2 linked regions of the Stegostoma tigrinum genome follow. The main gene of each other region encodes a partner of the protein of the gene in region 2 in a complex. Links are inferred from orthologs where the notes say so. Each region holds a gene or a part of one and is shown on either strand. Other genes may lie near its edges.

Evidence for each region.
Region 1: the proteins of micall1a (region 2) and EH domain-containing protein 1 are in contact, whole or in part, in an NMR structure (PDB 2KSP), measured with the Homo sapiens proteins. The link is inferred for Stegostoma tigrinum from reciprocal best matches to the Homo sapiens genes MICALL1 and EHD1. Residues at the interface, in NP_203744.1 of Homo sapiens: Lys422, Tyr424, Asn425, Pro426, Phe427, Glu428, Glu429; in NP_001269373.1 of Homo sapiens: Gly464, Ala467, Lys468, Met471, Asn478, Leu481, Gly482, Trp485, Lys486, Lys492, Asp493, Gly494.

The regions. Positions count from the first base shown.
Region 1 is NC_081395.1:7,014,542-7,021,773, forward strand, and holds the start of EH domain-containing protein 1, read left to right. Parts: upstream 1-4,170; 5' UTR 4,171-4,218; coding exon 4,219-4,622; intron 4,623-7,232. UniProt on the Homo sapiens protein: ATP- and membrane-binding protein that controls membrane reorganization/tubulation upon ATP hydrolysis. In vitro causes vesiculation of endocytic membranes. Acts in early endocytic membrane fusion and membrane trafficking of recycling endosomes.
Region 2 is NC_081391.1:1,643,106-1,650,950, reverse strand, and holds the start of micall1a (MICAL-like protein 1), read right to left. Parts: upstream 3,083-7,845; 5' UTR 2,672-3,082; coding exon 2,532-2,671; intron 1-2,531. UniProt on the Homo sapiens protein: Lipid-binding protein with higher affinity for phosphatidic acid, a lipid enriched in recycling endosome membranes. On endosome membranes, acts as a downstream effector of Rab proteins recruiting cytosolic proteins to regulate membrane tubulation.

The DNA.
Region 1 (7,232 bases), on a different chromosome or scaffold from region 2:
GTCGTGCCCCTCACATCTCCTGTGAACTTGCCCCCCTCACCTTAAACGCATGTATTAGACGTTTCAACCCTATCTACGTATCTCATCATTTTATAGACTTCTATCAAGTCTCCGCGCAGCCTCCACCGCTCCAGAGAAAACAACCTGAGTTTTTCCAGGATCTCCTTATAGTTCACACCCTCTAACCCAGGCAGAATCCTGGTAAACCCCTTCTGCACTCTCTCCCCAAAGCCCCCACATCCTTCCTGTAACGTGGCGAACAGAATTGAACACAATTCTCTAAGTGCGGCCGAACCAAAGTCTTTCCAAGCAGCAACATGACGTCCTGACTCTTGTACTCAATTCCCCGACCAATAAAAGTGAGCATGCCATACGCCTTCTTTACCACCCTATCTACTAGGGCGGCCACTTTCAGGGAGCTACCGACTTGAACCCCAAGATCCTTCTGTACATCAATGCTGTTCAGGGTTAACTATATACTTTACTTTAACATTTGGTCTCCCAAAGTGCAGCACCTCACACTTGCCCCCGTTAAACTCCATCTGCCATTTTCCCACCCTTACCTGCAACTGAGCTACATCCTGCTGTATCCTTTGACAAACTTCTGCACTATCCTGAACTCCTCCGAATTTTGTATCATCTGCAAACTTACTAACTCACCCATCTACATTTTCATCTACTTCATTTATATCACGAACAGCAGAGGTCCCAGTACGAATCCCTGCAGAACACCGCTAGTCAATGGATCTTCAGCTTGAGAAACACCCTTCCACCAATACCCTCGGTCTTCTACGGTCAAGCCAAATCTGAATCCATGTGGCCATGTGGGTCCCATTAATTTTAATCTTCTGGATGAGCCAACCATGAGGGACCTTGACGAAAGCCTGACTGAAATCCATGCAGCTGACATCAACAGCTCCACCCTCATTGATCACCTTTGGGCCCTCCTCAAAAAATTCAATCAAGTTAGTTCGACATGATCTGCCCTTTCAAAGCCACACTGACTCTCTATAACAAGGCCATGCTTTTTCAAATGCGTGTAAATCCCATCCTAAAGAATACATTCTTATAGCTTCCCAACCACTGACCGAAACGTCAGCTTTTGTGCTCCTAAGATGCTGCTTGGCCTGCTGTGTTCATCCAGCTCCACACCTTGTTATCTGGGATTCTCCAGCATCTGCAGTTCCCATTCTCACTGATGAGAAACTCACTGGGCTATAGGTTCCTGGATCATCCCCATTTCCCTTCTTGAACAGAAAAACAACATTAGCTACTCTCCAATCCTCTGAGACTTCTCCATTAGCTAGCGAGGATAAAGAGATCTTGCAATCTACTTTTATATTACTAGCTCGCTTACCCTCATATTCTCCCGTCTTGTTACTTTATTTTAGCTTATCCTCTACTGCTGTTTGAAGGCTTCTCAATCCTCTGGCCTTCCACCAATCTTCACCACATTATATGCCTTGTCTTTTGCTCCTGAAGTGGTTGTGTCGTAGGCCCTCAGTTCCATTGCAATCAGCCTGGTAGAACATGATCCAGTTTTTCAGATTCACAAGTTTGTCAGACATGCTGGTATTTGGAAACTCTATCAAGTTACTAGGAACATTGACTGAGAACAGAATTTCAGCAGCAAGACATGTAGCTTTCCTTCCTGAATCTGGAGGCTGCCAACGGAATTCTAAGTCCAGAAAGGATTGCTAGACAATACATATTCCCCCCCACCGCCCCACCTTTAGTCTTTTCAAAACCAGGTTTTCCCAGTAATTAAGGCAATAAACCCATATTTTATCTCCTTAAAAGCTTTGCTCGGCTGTTTTCTCCAAAGTTATTTGACTTTGCTGCAAGCGGTGGTTGACTTACAACACACATTATTGTTAACTTCACTTCGCAGTGAAACCCTGTTTAACCCAGAAAATGTCCAAACTACACTATACTTCGCAATTTTTCCACACAATCCTTGAATATTCTGTCTAGATTCTCAATGGTTTACATCTCGTTGCACAAAAACATCCAAAAAGGTTTAAAACAACATTCCCATTTTTGTTTCAACTTCATCTGAGTATCAATATAAAGTTTTTTTTGAAAAAGAGCTGCATTAATTGCTATAAACTTATTAAGTTGGGATAAATTCCTATTGCTGCTCTGAGCCTGTTAAACCTGAGAGGTGATGATGATTGAAGACCACATGAAAGGAGGATGGGGGAGAACAGTCACATGGTGGTGGGTGATGTCTCGCAAGTGAGTTTAGGAACATGACTTATCCCCACTGGATAGTCAACATCTACTGAAGAAAGCAGAAGGGAGGCTGGGGTTGGAGGAAGCAGCTGTGCACAGCAGTGAATAGATCAAAGCACAGGCCAGACCCCAACCTGTGTGCAGTGTATCTAAGAGATATGATGCGTGCCTGCAGAGAGACACACAGACCTGTACTCCCTCAATGGCCTTCCTTAAATAAGGAGAGCAGAACTGTGCTTGATACTCCAGGAGCAGGTGGTACATGGGGGCTCTGACCTGAACTCATCATTAGGTGGTGACTGGGATTGGGACCACAAGAGTGGGAGTCAGCCATTCAGCACCTCGAACCTGCTCCATCATTCAGCGTGAATGATTTTCTGCCTTGGTGCTATTTTCCCCACACCATTCCTTGATAACCTTATCTTGAACAAGCTCAAAGACAGAGCCTCCGCTGCCCTCTGAGGCAGAGAATTCCAAAGAGTCCCCAGCCTCTGAATGAAGAAATCCTTAATCCAAAATGGCCAATCTTTTATCCTGAGTCTGTGTGTCTCCTGGTTCAAGAAGACCTAGGGGAACGTCCTTCCTACGTACCCCCTGGCGAGCCCTGTCACAATTTTAGTATCCTTCGATAAGGTCACCTTTCACTCTTCTGAACTCCAGATAATCCCAGCCTGGTCTCCTCAATCTCTTCTCGTGAGACAATCTCATCATCCCAGGGATGAGGAACCTCTGCCACACTCTCTCAATGGCCTTCCTTAAATATGGTGAGTAGAACCGTACTTGATACTCCAGGAGCAGACCAACGGAAGCTTTATGCAAATGCAGCAAGATACTCCCTGCTCCAGTCCTAACACAGTTATGATTGACATACATTGCCCTCCCAAATTGGTCACCATACATTGATGCCTGTTGTTACTGACTCAGGGTAGAGGTTACCCATCTAGATTGGACAGAAGGTCACACTTTGGATATTGCCATGACTACAGAGTTGGGAATTAGGAATGGGCCACTCAGCCCTTCTAGCCCATGTCGCCACAACATGGCAGACAATGTCATTTCGGGGACATAAATCCTTGGCTTGCTCTTCCCAACCTCCTTGCACTTAAGAGGCATTCTCCAATGGATTTTGATGTTGAAGTTCTCTCTCTGCACCCACTCACCAATCTCCCTCCATGGTCCACCAACCACCATCGTGATCCACCCATTCCATGGGCCTGGAACTAGGACACACCCACAAAGTGGGTGTGACCACAGGAAGACACACCCTCGTGTGGGCGTGATCACAGGAGAGCACCCACAATTGGGCGGGATCACAGATGGCACACCCTCAGTTGGGCGGGGCGAGGAGAACACCTACGTGTGGGTGGGACCGCGAGATGACACGTCCTTGAATGGGCGGGGCTGCAACGTGACACCCCTTCACACGGCTGGGCGGGGCGGAGTGGGCGCGTCCGAGACGGCTGGAGCATAAGTGGGCGGTGCTTTAACATGACACCGCCAACAGGTGGGCGTGGCGGAGTGGTGACACGCCCACGGGTGGGCGAGGCTGTGGCAACGCTGGAGCGTGGGACACGCCCACAGGTTTAATCGCCCTCCCACAAACCGACAGTGATTGGAAAGATAATAAAATGTGAGGCTGGATGAACACAGCAGGCCAAGCAGCATCTCAGGAGCACAAAAGCTGACGTTTCGGGCCTAGACCCTTCATCAGAGTGATTGGAAAGGGCGAGGCTTTGAGACCCGGTGGGCGTGTCTGAAATCCGAACACGCCCACCAGACGGGCGGGGACGGATTCACCATCGGGCAGCGTCGTGAGATGACGTAGGCTTCGCGTGGCGTTGACGGCGCGGGCCTCGCGAGATCCTTCCCGCCCCTCCGACGGCCCCGTATTTAAGGGGGAGCGCGCAGGCGCGGCGGCTCCAGTAGTGGCGGTTGGCGGCGGCGGGTGGGTGTGTTGTAGAGGGGGCAGGGCCGGCTTTTGCTATGTTCAGCTGGATGGGGAAGGACGCGCGGCGCAAGAAGGAGCCCGAGCTCTTCCAGACGGTGAGCGACGGCCTCAAGCGGCTGTACTCACAGAAGCTGCTGCCGCTGGAGGAGAGCTACCGGTTCCATGACTTCCACTCGCCCGCCCTGGAGGAGGCCGACTTCGACAACAAGCCCATGGTGCTGCTGGTCGGCCAGTACTCGACCGGCAAGACCACCTTCATCCGGCACCTGATCGAGCAGGACTTCCCCGGCATGAGGATCGGGCCCGAGCCCACCACCGACTCCTTCATCGCCGTCATGCACGGCGAGCAGGACGGGGTGGTGCCCGGTAACGCGCTGGTCGTCGACCCCAAGAAGCCCTTTAGGAAACTCAACGCCTTCGGCAACGCCTTCCTCAACAGGTAACGGCCCTCAGCGGCCCCCCCCCCCCCCCCCGGGTCCCTGTCCAGTCCCTTATCACCCCCCGGGGTCCCTGTCCAATCCCTTATCCCCACACCACCCCCCCCCCCCCCCGGGGTCCCTGTCCAGTCCCTTTCTCTTCTCTTCCCCCCCCCCCATCTGCCCTCCCCCTCAATCCTCCAAAGCCTCTTCCCCTCCCCCACAGCCACTTTCCTCCCCCTTCCTCCTCCTCCTCGCTCCCCCTCTCTCTTCCCCCCCTCCTCCTCGCTCCCCCTCTCTCTTCCCCCCCTCCTCCTCGCTCCCCCTCTCTCTTCCCCCCCTCCTCCTCGCTCCCCCTCTCTCTTCCCCCCCTCCTCCTCGCTCCCCCTCTCTCTTCCCCCCCTCCTCCTCGCTCCCCCTCTCTCTTCCCCCCCTCCTCCTCGCTCCCCCTCTCTTCCCCCCGCTCCCCCTCGCTCCCCCTCTCTCTTCCCCCCCGCTCCTCCTCGCTCCCCCTCGCTCCCCCTCTCTCTTCCCCCCCGCTCCTCCTCGCTCCCCCTCGCTCCCCCTCTCTCTTCCCCCCCGCTCCTCCTCGCTCCCCCTCTCTCTTCCCCCCCGCTCCTCCTCGCTCCCCCTCTCTCTTCCCCCCCCGCTCCTCCTCGCTCCCCCCCGCTCCTCCTCGCTCCCCCCCGCTCCTCCTCGCTCCCCCCCGCTCCTCCTCGCTCCTCCTCGCTCCCCCCCGCTCCCCCCCGCTCCCCCCCGCTCCCCCCCGCTCCCCCCCGCTCCCCCCCGCTCCCCCCCGCTCCCCCCCGCTCCCCCCCGCTCCCCCCCGCTCCCCCCCGCTCCTCCTCGCTCCCCCCCGCTCCTCCTCGCTCCCCCCCGCTCCTCCTCGCTCCCCCCCGCTCCTCCTCGCTCCCCCCCGCTCCTCCTCGCTCCCCCCCGCTCCTCCTCGCTCCCCCCCGCTCCTCCTCGCTCCCCCTCTCTCTTCCCCCCCGCTCCTCCTCGCTCCCCCTCTCTCTTCCCCCCCCCGCTCCTCCTCGCTCCCCCCCGCTCCTCCTCGCTCCCCCCCGCTCCTCCTCGCTCCCCCCCGCTCCTCCTCGCTCCCCCCCGCTCCTCCTCGCTCCCCCCCGCTCCCCCTCGCTCCCCCCCCCGCTCCTCCTCGCTCCCCCCCCGCTCCTCCTCGCTCCCCCCCGCTCCTCCTCGCTCCCCCCCGCTCCTCCTCGCTCCCCCCCGCTCCTCCTCGCTCCCCCCCGCTCCTCCTCGCTCCTCCTCGCTCCCCCCCGCTCCTCCTCGCTCCTCCTCGCTCCTCCTCGCTCCTCCTCGCTCCTCCTCGCTCCCCCTCGCTCCCCCTCGCTCCCCCTCGCTCCCCCTCGCTCCCCCTCGCTCCCCCTCGCTCCCCCTCGCTCCCCCTCGCTCCCCCCCGCTCCCCCCGCTCCCCCCCGCTCCCCCCCGCTCCCCCCCGCTCCCCCCCGCTCCCCCCCGCTCCCCCCCGCTCCCCCCCGCTCCCCCCCGCTCCCCCCCGCTCCCCCCCGCTCCCCCCCGCTCCCCCCCCGCTCCCCCCCGCTCCCCCCCGCTCCCCCCCGCTCCCCCCCGCTCCCCCCCGCTCCCCCCCGCTCCCCCTCGCTCCCCCTCTCTCTTCCCCCCCGCTCCTCCTCGCTCCCCCTCTCTCTTCCCCCCCGCTCCTCCTCGCTCCCCCTCTCTCTTCCCCCCCGCTCCTCCTCGCTCCCCCTCTCTCTTCCCCCCCCGCTCCTCCTCGCTCCCCCTCTCTTCCCCCCCCGCTCCTCCTCGCTCCCCCTCTCTTCCCCCCCCGCTCCTCCTCGCTCCCCCTCTCTTCCCCCCCGCTCCTCCTCGCTCCCCCTCTCTCTTCCCCCCCGCTCCTCCTCGCTCCCCCTCTCTCTTCCCCCCCGCTCCTCCTCGCTCCCCCTCTCTCTTCCCCCCCGCTCCTCCTCGCTCCCCCTCTCTCTTCCCCCCCGCTCCTCCTCGCTCCCCCTCTCTCTTCCCCCCCGCTCCTCCTCGCTCCCCCTCTCTCTTCCCCCCCGCTCCTCCTCGCTCCCCCTCTCTCTTCCCCCCCGCTCCTCCTCGCTCCCCCTCTCTCTTCCCCCCCGCTCCTCCTCGCTCCCCCTCTCTCTTCCCCCCCGCTCCTCCTCGCTCCCCCTCTCTCTTCCCCCCGCTCCTCCTCGCTCCCCCTCTCTCTTCCCCCCGCTCCTCCTCGCTCCCCCTCTCTCTTCCCCCCGCTCCTCCTCGCTCCCCCTTTCTCTTCCCCCCCGCTCCTCCTCGCTCCCCCTTTCTCTTCCCCCCCGCTCCTCCTCGCTCCCCCTTTCTCTTCCCCCCCGCTCCTCCTCGCTCCCCCTTTCTCTTCCCCCCCGCTCCTCCTCGCTCCCCCTCTCTCTTCCCCCCCCGCTCCTCCTCGCTCCCCCTCTCTCTTCCCCCCCGCTCCTCCTCGCTCCCCCTCTCTCTTCCCCCCCGCTCCTCCTCGCTCCCCCTCTCTCTTCCCCCCCGCTCCTCCTCGCTCCCCCTCTCTCTTCCCCCCCCGCTCCTCCTCGCTCCCCCTCTCTCTTCCCCCCCGCTCCTCCTCGCTCCCCCTCTCTCTTCCCCCCCGCTCCTCCTCGCTCCCCCTCTCTCTTCCCCCCCCGCTC
Region 2 (7,845 bases):
GGGCTTGTTTCCACTGGAGGTAGAAGTGAGGGGTGATTTGATTGAACATGTGTAACAAAGGTTCAAGAACAGCTTTTTCCCTGCTGTTATTAGACTGCTGAATGGACCTCTCCAATTAAAAAACTAATGCTGATTCTGCTTTGTACACCTCCTGTGCAGCTGTAACCTTGTGTGCCTTGCTCTGTCTAAACACCCTACAACCACATACAGGTTGTATGCCATGATCTCGGGTACTGTGACAACAATAAATCAAATCAAAATCAAAGTAAACAAGATCTTGAATGGTGTCAATGAGGTGGATGTAGAAAAGTTTACTTTTGTGCATGAGTCCTGAATTATGGTGTACTGCTATAAAATTAAGGTCATCCTCTTAGGACAGATGAGGGGAAATTTACTCTCTGAAAGTTGAGAAACTTTGGAACTATCTGCCTCAGAAGGCAGTGGGAGGACATCACTGAATATTTTTAAGGCAGAAGTGGGATGGGATTCTTATTAGACTGGAAAATCAAGGTTTGTCAGGGGTAAATTGAGATTTGGAACAGAAACAGATTAGCCATGATCTTACTGAATGATGGAGTAGGCTCGAAAGCCCAACAGCTACGCTGTTCCTATTTTATATGTTCTTATTCCAGGCATAATGTAATGACTCCTTTTATCATAGAATCCCTACAGTTCAGAAAGAGGCCATTCATCCAGCTCACCGACTCCCACAGCTACCTAGGATACACCTCCGACCGCCCGCCCACCCACCCCCCTGCAAAAATTCCTTCGCCTCTGCCGCATCTGCTCCCAGGATGAGGCATTCCACTCCCGCACATCCCAGATGGCCACGTTCTTCAAGGACCGCAACTCCTTGGCCCCCCCACCCCCAAAGAGAAGTCAAGAACGCCCTAAACTGTGTCTCCCGCATTTCCTGCAACACATAACTCACCCCGCCCCCGCAATAACCGCTCTAAAAGAATCCCCCTCATCCTCACATACCACCCCACCAATCTCTGGATACAATGCATTATCCTCAGACACTTCTGCATTCTACAATCCAACCCCACCAACCCCATCCCCACCCTTGTCTGCATTCCGGAGAGACAACTCTCTTCGTGACTCCCTTGTTCGCTCCAAACTCCCCTTCAACCCTACCACACCTGGCACCTTCCCCTGCAACCGCAGGAAGTGCTACACTTGCCCCCACACCACCTCCATCATCTCCAACCCAGGCCCAAAGATGACTTTCCACATCAAGCAGATGTTCACCTGCACATCTGCCAATGTAGTATACTGTATCCACTGTACACGGTGTGGCTTCCACTATGTTGGGGAAACCAAGCGGAGGCTTGGGGACCACTTTGCAGAACACCTCCGCTTGGTTCACAATGAACAACTGCACCTCCCAGTCGCAAACCATTTTAACTCCCCCTCCCATTCCTTCGATGACATGTCCATCCTGGGCCTCCTGCAATGGCACAATGATGCCACCCGAAGGTTGCAGGAACAGCAACCTATATTCCGCTTGGGAACCCTGCAGCCTGATGGTATCAATGTGGACTTCACAAGCTTCAAGATCTCCCCCTCCCCCACTACATCCCAAAACCAGCCCAGCTCATTCCCGCTTCCCTAACCTGTTCTTCCTCTCACCCATCCCCTCCTCCCACCTCAAGCTGCACCTCCATTTCTCACCTACCAACCTCATCCCACCTCCTTGACCTTTCCATCCTCCCTGGACTGACCTACCCCCTCCATACCTATACTCTCCACCTATCTTCTCCTCTATCCATCATCGGTCCGCCTCTCCCTCTCTCCGTATTTATTTCGGAATCCTCTTCCCATCCCCCTCTCCGATGAAGGGTCTAGGCCCGAAACATCAGCTTTTGTGCTCCCGAGATGCTGCTTGGCCTGCTGTGTTCATCCAGCTCCACACTTTGTTATCCTGGATTCTCCAGCATCTGCAGTTCCCATTAGCTCTGATCTCCATTCATCCCACTGCGTCTGCTGTGATCCCCCAAAGAACATCCCGCTAGATCCACCTTCCCGCTAGATCCACCTTCCCACCCCCATCCCTGTAACACCACATTTACCTTGTGGCTAATCCAGCTAGCCGGGACTCTATGGGGCAATTTAGCATGGCCAATCCACGTAACTGAAAAATTTACACTTCAGCAGTCAGTTATTCTGATCCCTGCTGTTCTGTGCTACTCTAGAAGCATGCCCTGGGCCAAGGAGAACGTGGCACGGGGTGAGACTGGGTGCTCACTTTGCCCAGCTCTGTCCAGGCCGGAGCAGTTCCAACAGGGACCAACAAGCCAGCTTACAGCCAGAAGAGATGAAGGAACAGTTCAGGGTCCCGAAGCCCCGTCTTTCTCACTCCACTCTCCATGCTGGGTGAAACACTGTACCGAGAACTCCCCTAGGGGATACTCTCCCTGACCAGGTACCCCATGGTCACTCAGGGCTGGGGTAGAGAGCCCTGTACTTCTTCACCTCAGGGCTGGGGCGGGGGAAGAGACCCTCCCTGCACGGCCTCCCCAGACACTCACATCAGCTCAGGGCGGTGCCGGTGGATGATGGCACAAAAGGCAAGCCCGTCCCTGAAGCTCGAGCTCATGTTCGTCACCTCGACCCCCGGGTATCCCAACACCTGTAGACGGGCCCATTCCTGCAGCGCTCGGGTCGCCATGGGAGCGGCTCCAGACACCCGCCACTTCCGCTCCTCGACACTCCTGTTCCGCCTACTGCGCCCCCTACAGACGCCCAGGGTACTGCAGCGCGACACAGCGCGCCCCCTCCGACCACCAGGGGGACTGCATCGGTCCGAGATAATGGGATCTGCAGACGCTGGAGAATCCAAGGTAACAGTGTGGGGCCAAGCAGTATCTTAGAGGAGCACAAAAGCTGACGTTTCGGGCCCTGCATCGATCCCTAAGGTCTGGGCCTGAAACGTCAGCTTTCCTGCTCCTCTGATGCTGCTTGGCCTGCTGTATTCATCCAGCTCTACACTTTGTTATCTCAGATTCTCCAACTCTTATCATCTCTGTTAATGCATCCCGACACAGCGCGCCTCCTAAGGCCACAAGGGGAACTGGATGGCTACACAGCGCGCCCACTCTGGTCAACAGGGGAATCGCACACCGACACGGCGCGCCTACTGCGGCCACCGGAAGGAAACTGCACACCGACACAGAGCGCCCACTATGGCCACCAGTGGAACTGCATAAAATCCAGAAAAAGTGGATGCTGTAAATCAGGAAGAAAAACAAAAATTGGTGGAAAAGCTCGGCAGGTGTGAGGGAGAAAACAGAGTTAACGTTTCAGGTCCGGTTACCCTTCCTCAGAACTTAGAGCTTACTAGACCTGAAACACTAACTCTGTTTTCTCCTTCAGATGCTGCCAGACATGCTGAGCTTTTACAGCAATATGTTTTGTTTCCTGATTTACAGCATCTGCAGTTCTTTAGTTTCTTACCTGCACTAATCCAACTGCATTATTACTGCCCTATTAGTCTACTCTCAATCATCTGTAAAGTGATGGATGGTGTCAACAACAGTGCTATCAAGCTGCACCAGCTCAGCAAAATCCTGCTCAGTGATGCCCAGTTTGGGTTGCTCCAGGGTCACGCGGTCCGTAACCCCGTGACAGCCAAAAGAGCTGAATTCCAGAGGTGATGTGAGTGACAGCCCTTGACCTCAAGGTCACATTTGATTGTGTGGTATTAAGAAACCCTAGCAAAACTGAAATCAGTATGTATGGGGGCAAGCTCTCCACTGATTAGAGACATACCTGGCACATGTGAAGATCATTGAGGTTGTTAGGGGTCAGTCATCTCAGCTCCAGGACACCTCTGCAGGAGTTCCTCAGGGTAGTGTTCCATGCCCCAACCATCTTCAGCTGCTTCACCAATGATCTTCCCTCCATCAAAAAGGTCAGAAGTGGGGATGTTTACCAATGTTCAAAACCATTTGACTCAGGTACTGAAGCAGTCCATATTCAAATGCGACAAGATCCAGGCTTGGGTTGAAAAGTGGCAAATATGATTTATGCCAAACAAATGACAATGACCATCTCCAGTAAGAAACAATCCAACTTCAACCCTTGACGTTCAATGGCATTACCATCACTGAAACCACCACTAGTCACATCCTGGGGGTTACTAAACTGAACTCAAACTTAACTGGAGTAGCCATGTAAAGATTTGTAACCACAAGAATGGGCTACAGGCTAGGAATACTGTCATGAGTAACTCCCTTCCTGACTCTCCAGATCTCATTCACTATCTACAAGAGAGGGTGGAATAGTTCCCACTTGCCTGGAAGAAAGTAACTCCTACCACATTCAAAAAGCTCAATACTATCCAGGAAAAATTGTTTCTTGATTGGCAGTTCATCCACAAGCATCCACTCCTCATTAGCAGCAGTACATACCATCTGCAAGTTGCACTGCAGAAATTCACCAACAGTCCCCAGATAACATCTTTCAAACCCACAATCACAACTGCCTGAAAGGGCAGTAGATGCATAGGAATGCCACCACCTGAAAGATCCCCATCTGAGCCACACAACCCTCCACTGGCTCCCTCTGCCTTCAACTTCTGAGCCAGTTCTGTATCCAAATGGGTGGTCCTCCCTGTATTCCATGTGATAACCTTGCTAACCAATCCACCATGAGGAACCGATGTGGAAGCTTTGGAAAAGGTGCAGAGGAGATTTACTAGGATGTTGCCTGGTATGGAGGGAAGATCTTATGAGGAAAGGTGGAGGGATTTGAGGCTGTTTTCGTTAGAGAGAAGAAGGTTGAGGGGTGATTTAATTGAGACATATAAAATAATCAGAGGGTTAGGTAGGGTGGATAGGGAGAGCTTTTTTCCTAGGATGGTGACAGCGAGCACGAGGGGGCATAGTTTTAAATTGAGGGGTGAAAGATATAGGACAGATGTAAGGGGTAGTTTCTTTACTCAGAGTAGCAATGGAATGGAACACTTTGCCTGCAACGGTAGTAGATTCGCCAACTTTAAGTACATTTAAGTCAGCATATGGACAAGCACATGGAATAGTTTAGGTTAGATGGGCTTCAGATCGGTATGACAGGTCGGCACAACATCAAGGGCCGAAGGGCCTGTACTGTGCTGTAATGTTCTAAGTCCATAGAGATTACATCCACCGCTCTGCATCGTCAATCCTATGTTACTTCTTCAAAAAAATCTCCATCAAGTTAGTGAGACCCAATTTCCCCCCTGTACAAAGCTATGCTGACTATCCCTAATCAGCCTTTGCCTTTCGAAATGCATTTAAATCTTGCCCTTCAGGATTACCTCCAACAACTTGCCCACCAATGTCAGGCTCACTAGTTTGTAGTTCCCTGGCTTTTCCTTACCACCTTTCTTAACTAGCAGCACCATGTTAGCCAACCTCCAGGCTTCCAGCACCTCACCTGTGGCTATCGATGATATAAATATCTCAGCAAGGGTCTCAGCAATCACTTCCCTAGGATCCCATAGATTTCTAGGGTGCACCTGACCAGGTCCCAGGGATCTATCCACCTTAACGTGTTTTAAGACATCCAGCAACCCTCCTCCGTAATATGAACATTTTTCAAGATGTCGCTATTTATTTCCCCATGTTCTCTCTCTTCCATATCCTTCCAGCTTCTTGTTTGAATAGGAATGTCGGAAAAAAAAGCAAATAAAAAGATTACAATAGGTAAGTGCTTACTATCTGGATTACCCTAGTGACAACAACTCCCAATTAAAAATAACAAACATGTTCCGTTGAAAAACATCGAAAGATTGATCTCCAAGAGTTCCTGTATTTATCAGCAAAGTGGTTTTGCTGATAATATTTTACTCATTACCATATCTACACCTCGCATAGTTGCTCAAAGTGAAATGTCAGATGTTTCTCACCCAACAAAAAGAAATGAAATTTAATGTTTGTGATAAGCTCATATGTAAACCTGGTGCAGATAACTTTAGGGACATCATGTGCATTTTTTTTTTAAAAAAAAGGACTAACACGTCATGCCAGAATTCAGAAAGCAAGAATTATCATTTTCTCACAGCTAATGCATTTGTTTTTAGACACAAACTTCTAGAAAATCAAGAGGAGCAAGCATATAGCAAAGCATTTTCCAAAGTAGCAACTTTCCACTACTTAAGTATCCAAATACAATTTAGCAATTACCCATCTTTCCTCTGTATCCTCAAATAACATAATACAGCAACAAGTAGTCATGGAAATATGCATGTCAAATTAATTTCAGAATCAGCTGTAAGAACAAAAGAGGTACAGCCGTCTCTGATGTGAGGAGTGGAATTACTTAGTGTTTTCTGAAAACATGTCTGTCTTTTATTCACATATAGTAGGTACTGCTGATGTTGGAGAATCTGAGATAACAAGGTGTAGAGTAGGATGAACACAGCAGGCCAAACAGCATCAGAGGAACAGGAAAGCTGACATTTCAGGTCTGGACCCTTCTTCAGAAAAGGGGGTGGGGAAGGGGATTCTGAAATAAATAGATTCTCCAGCATCAGCAGTTCCTACTGTCTCTGAATAGGTATTTAATATCCCAGGTTATAAGGCTTTTAGTAGAAACAAAGTGTGTGAAAAGGGAAGAGGTATTACAGCTTTGGGTGAAGATAGTATCATTGCCCTTGAATGAGATGCAATTCCAAAATCAGAATCTGTATAGTTAGAGGTGAGAAACAGGAAGGGAGCATTGACCTTGTTGTGTATTTATTATAGATCCTCAAATAGTGGGGAGGAAGTAGGAGAAAGCATTTGTAGGCAAATTATGGAAATTTGCAGGATGAATAGAGAGTTATGTTCGATGTTTTCAATTACCTCAGGGTAGACTGGGGAAAAGGTAGTATGAGGACCATGGAAGCAGAGAATTTCTTGCAATTGAAGCTTTCTAGAACAGTTCATCTCCCAGCCCTACTAGGGAAGGAAGCTATGCTGGATCTGGTCCTAGAAAATGAGGAAATCGCAGTGGAGAGCATCAGATTCAGCGAGCAATTAAATACGAAAACGATAAAAGTCAGTCAAGAGATTAATGCCCCAAGACTAGAAAAAGAACAAATTTTAGGGGTCTGAAAGTGGAACTGGAGCAAGTTGGTTGGAAATGCTTTTTGGTTGATGAAACAGTGGGTGAAAAATGGGAAAATTTCAAAAGAAATAATTGGGTGCAACTCAGGTGCATACCCATGAAAAATAAATACAAAGATATCCAAAGCTAGAGTACCTTGGATAACTAAAGGATATTGATGAGAAAAATAAGAAAGAAAAAGGCATATGAAAATAATAATAGCAACAGAAATCAGGAAGAGCATCTCAAATGCAAGAGAGAGGCATAGGCTGGAATAAAGAAGGCTAAAAGGAAGCACGAGGAAAGGATGGCAGGTTGCATTAAAACGTTCTACAAACACATTAAATGGGGAAAGATAATGAAGGATAAAGTGGGTTCCAAAAGTAACAAGCAGTGGCAATTACTCACTGACGCAAAGAAGTTGGCAGAGGTGCTAAGTTAATATTTTGCTTCTGTCTTTGCCGAATTAGAAAATGGTTACAATGGTTCAGTTGAAAATGTGAGCGTTGAGTAACTGAGCAGTATAGTGATAGATAAAGAAGGGATTCCAAAAAAGGCTGGCAGCACTCCAGGTAAAAGAGGTCACCAGGCCCAGATGGGATGCAAACTAGATTGCTGAGAGGATTAAGGGAGAAAAATTGCAGAGCTGTTGACAGAAATTTTCCAGATCTCTCTGAACAAAGGATTAATCCCAGAAGGCTGGAGGATTGCAAATGTAACATCATGTTTAAGAAAGGGGCAGAGGATAACCCAGGAAACTACACACCTGTCAGT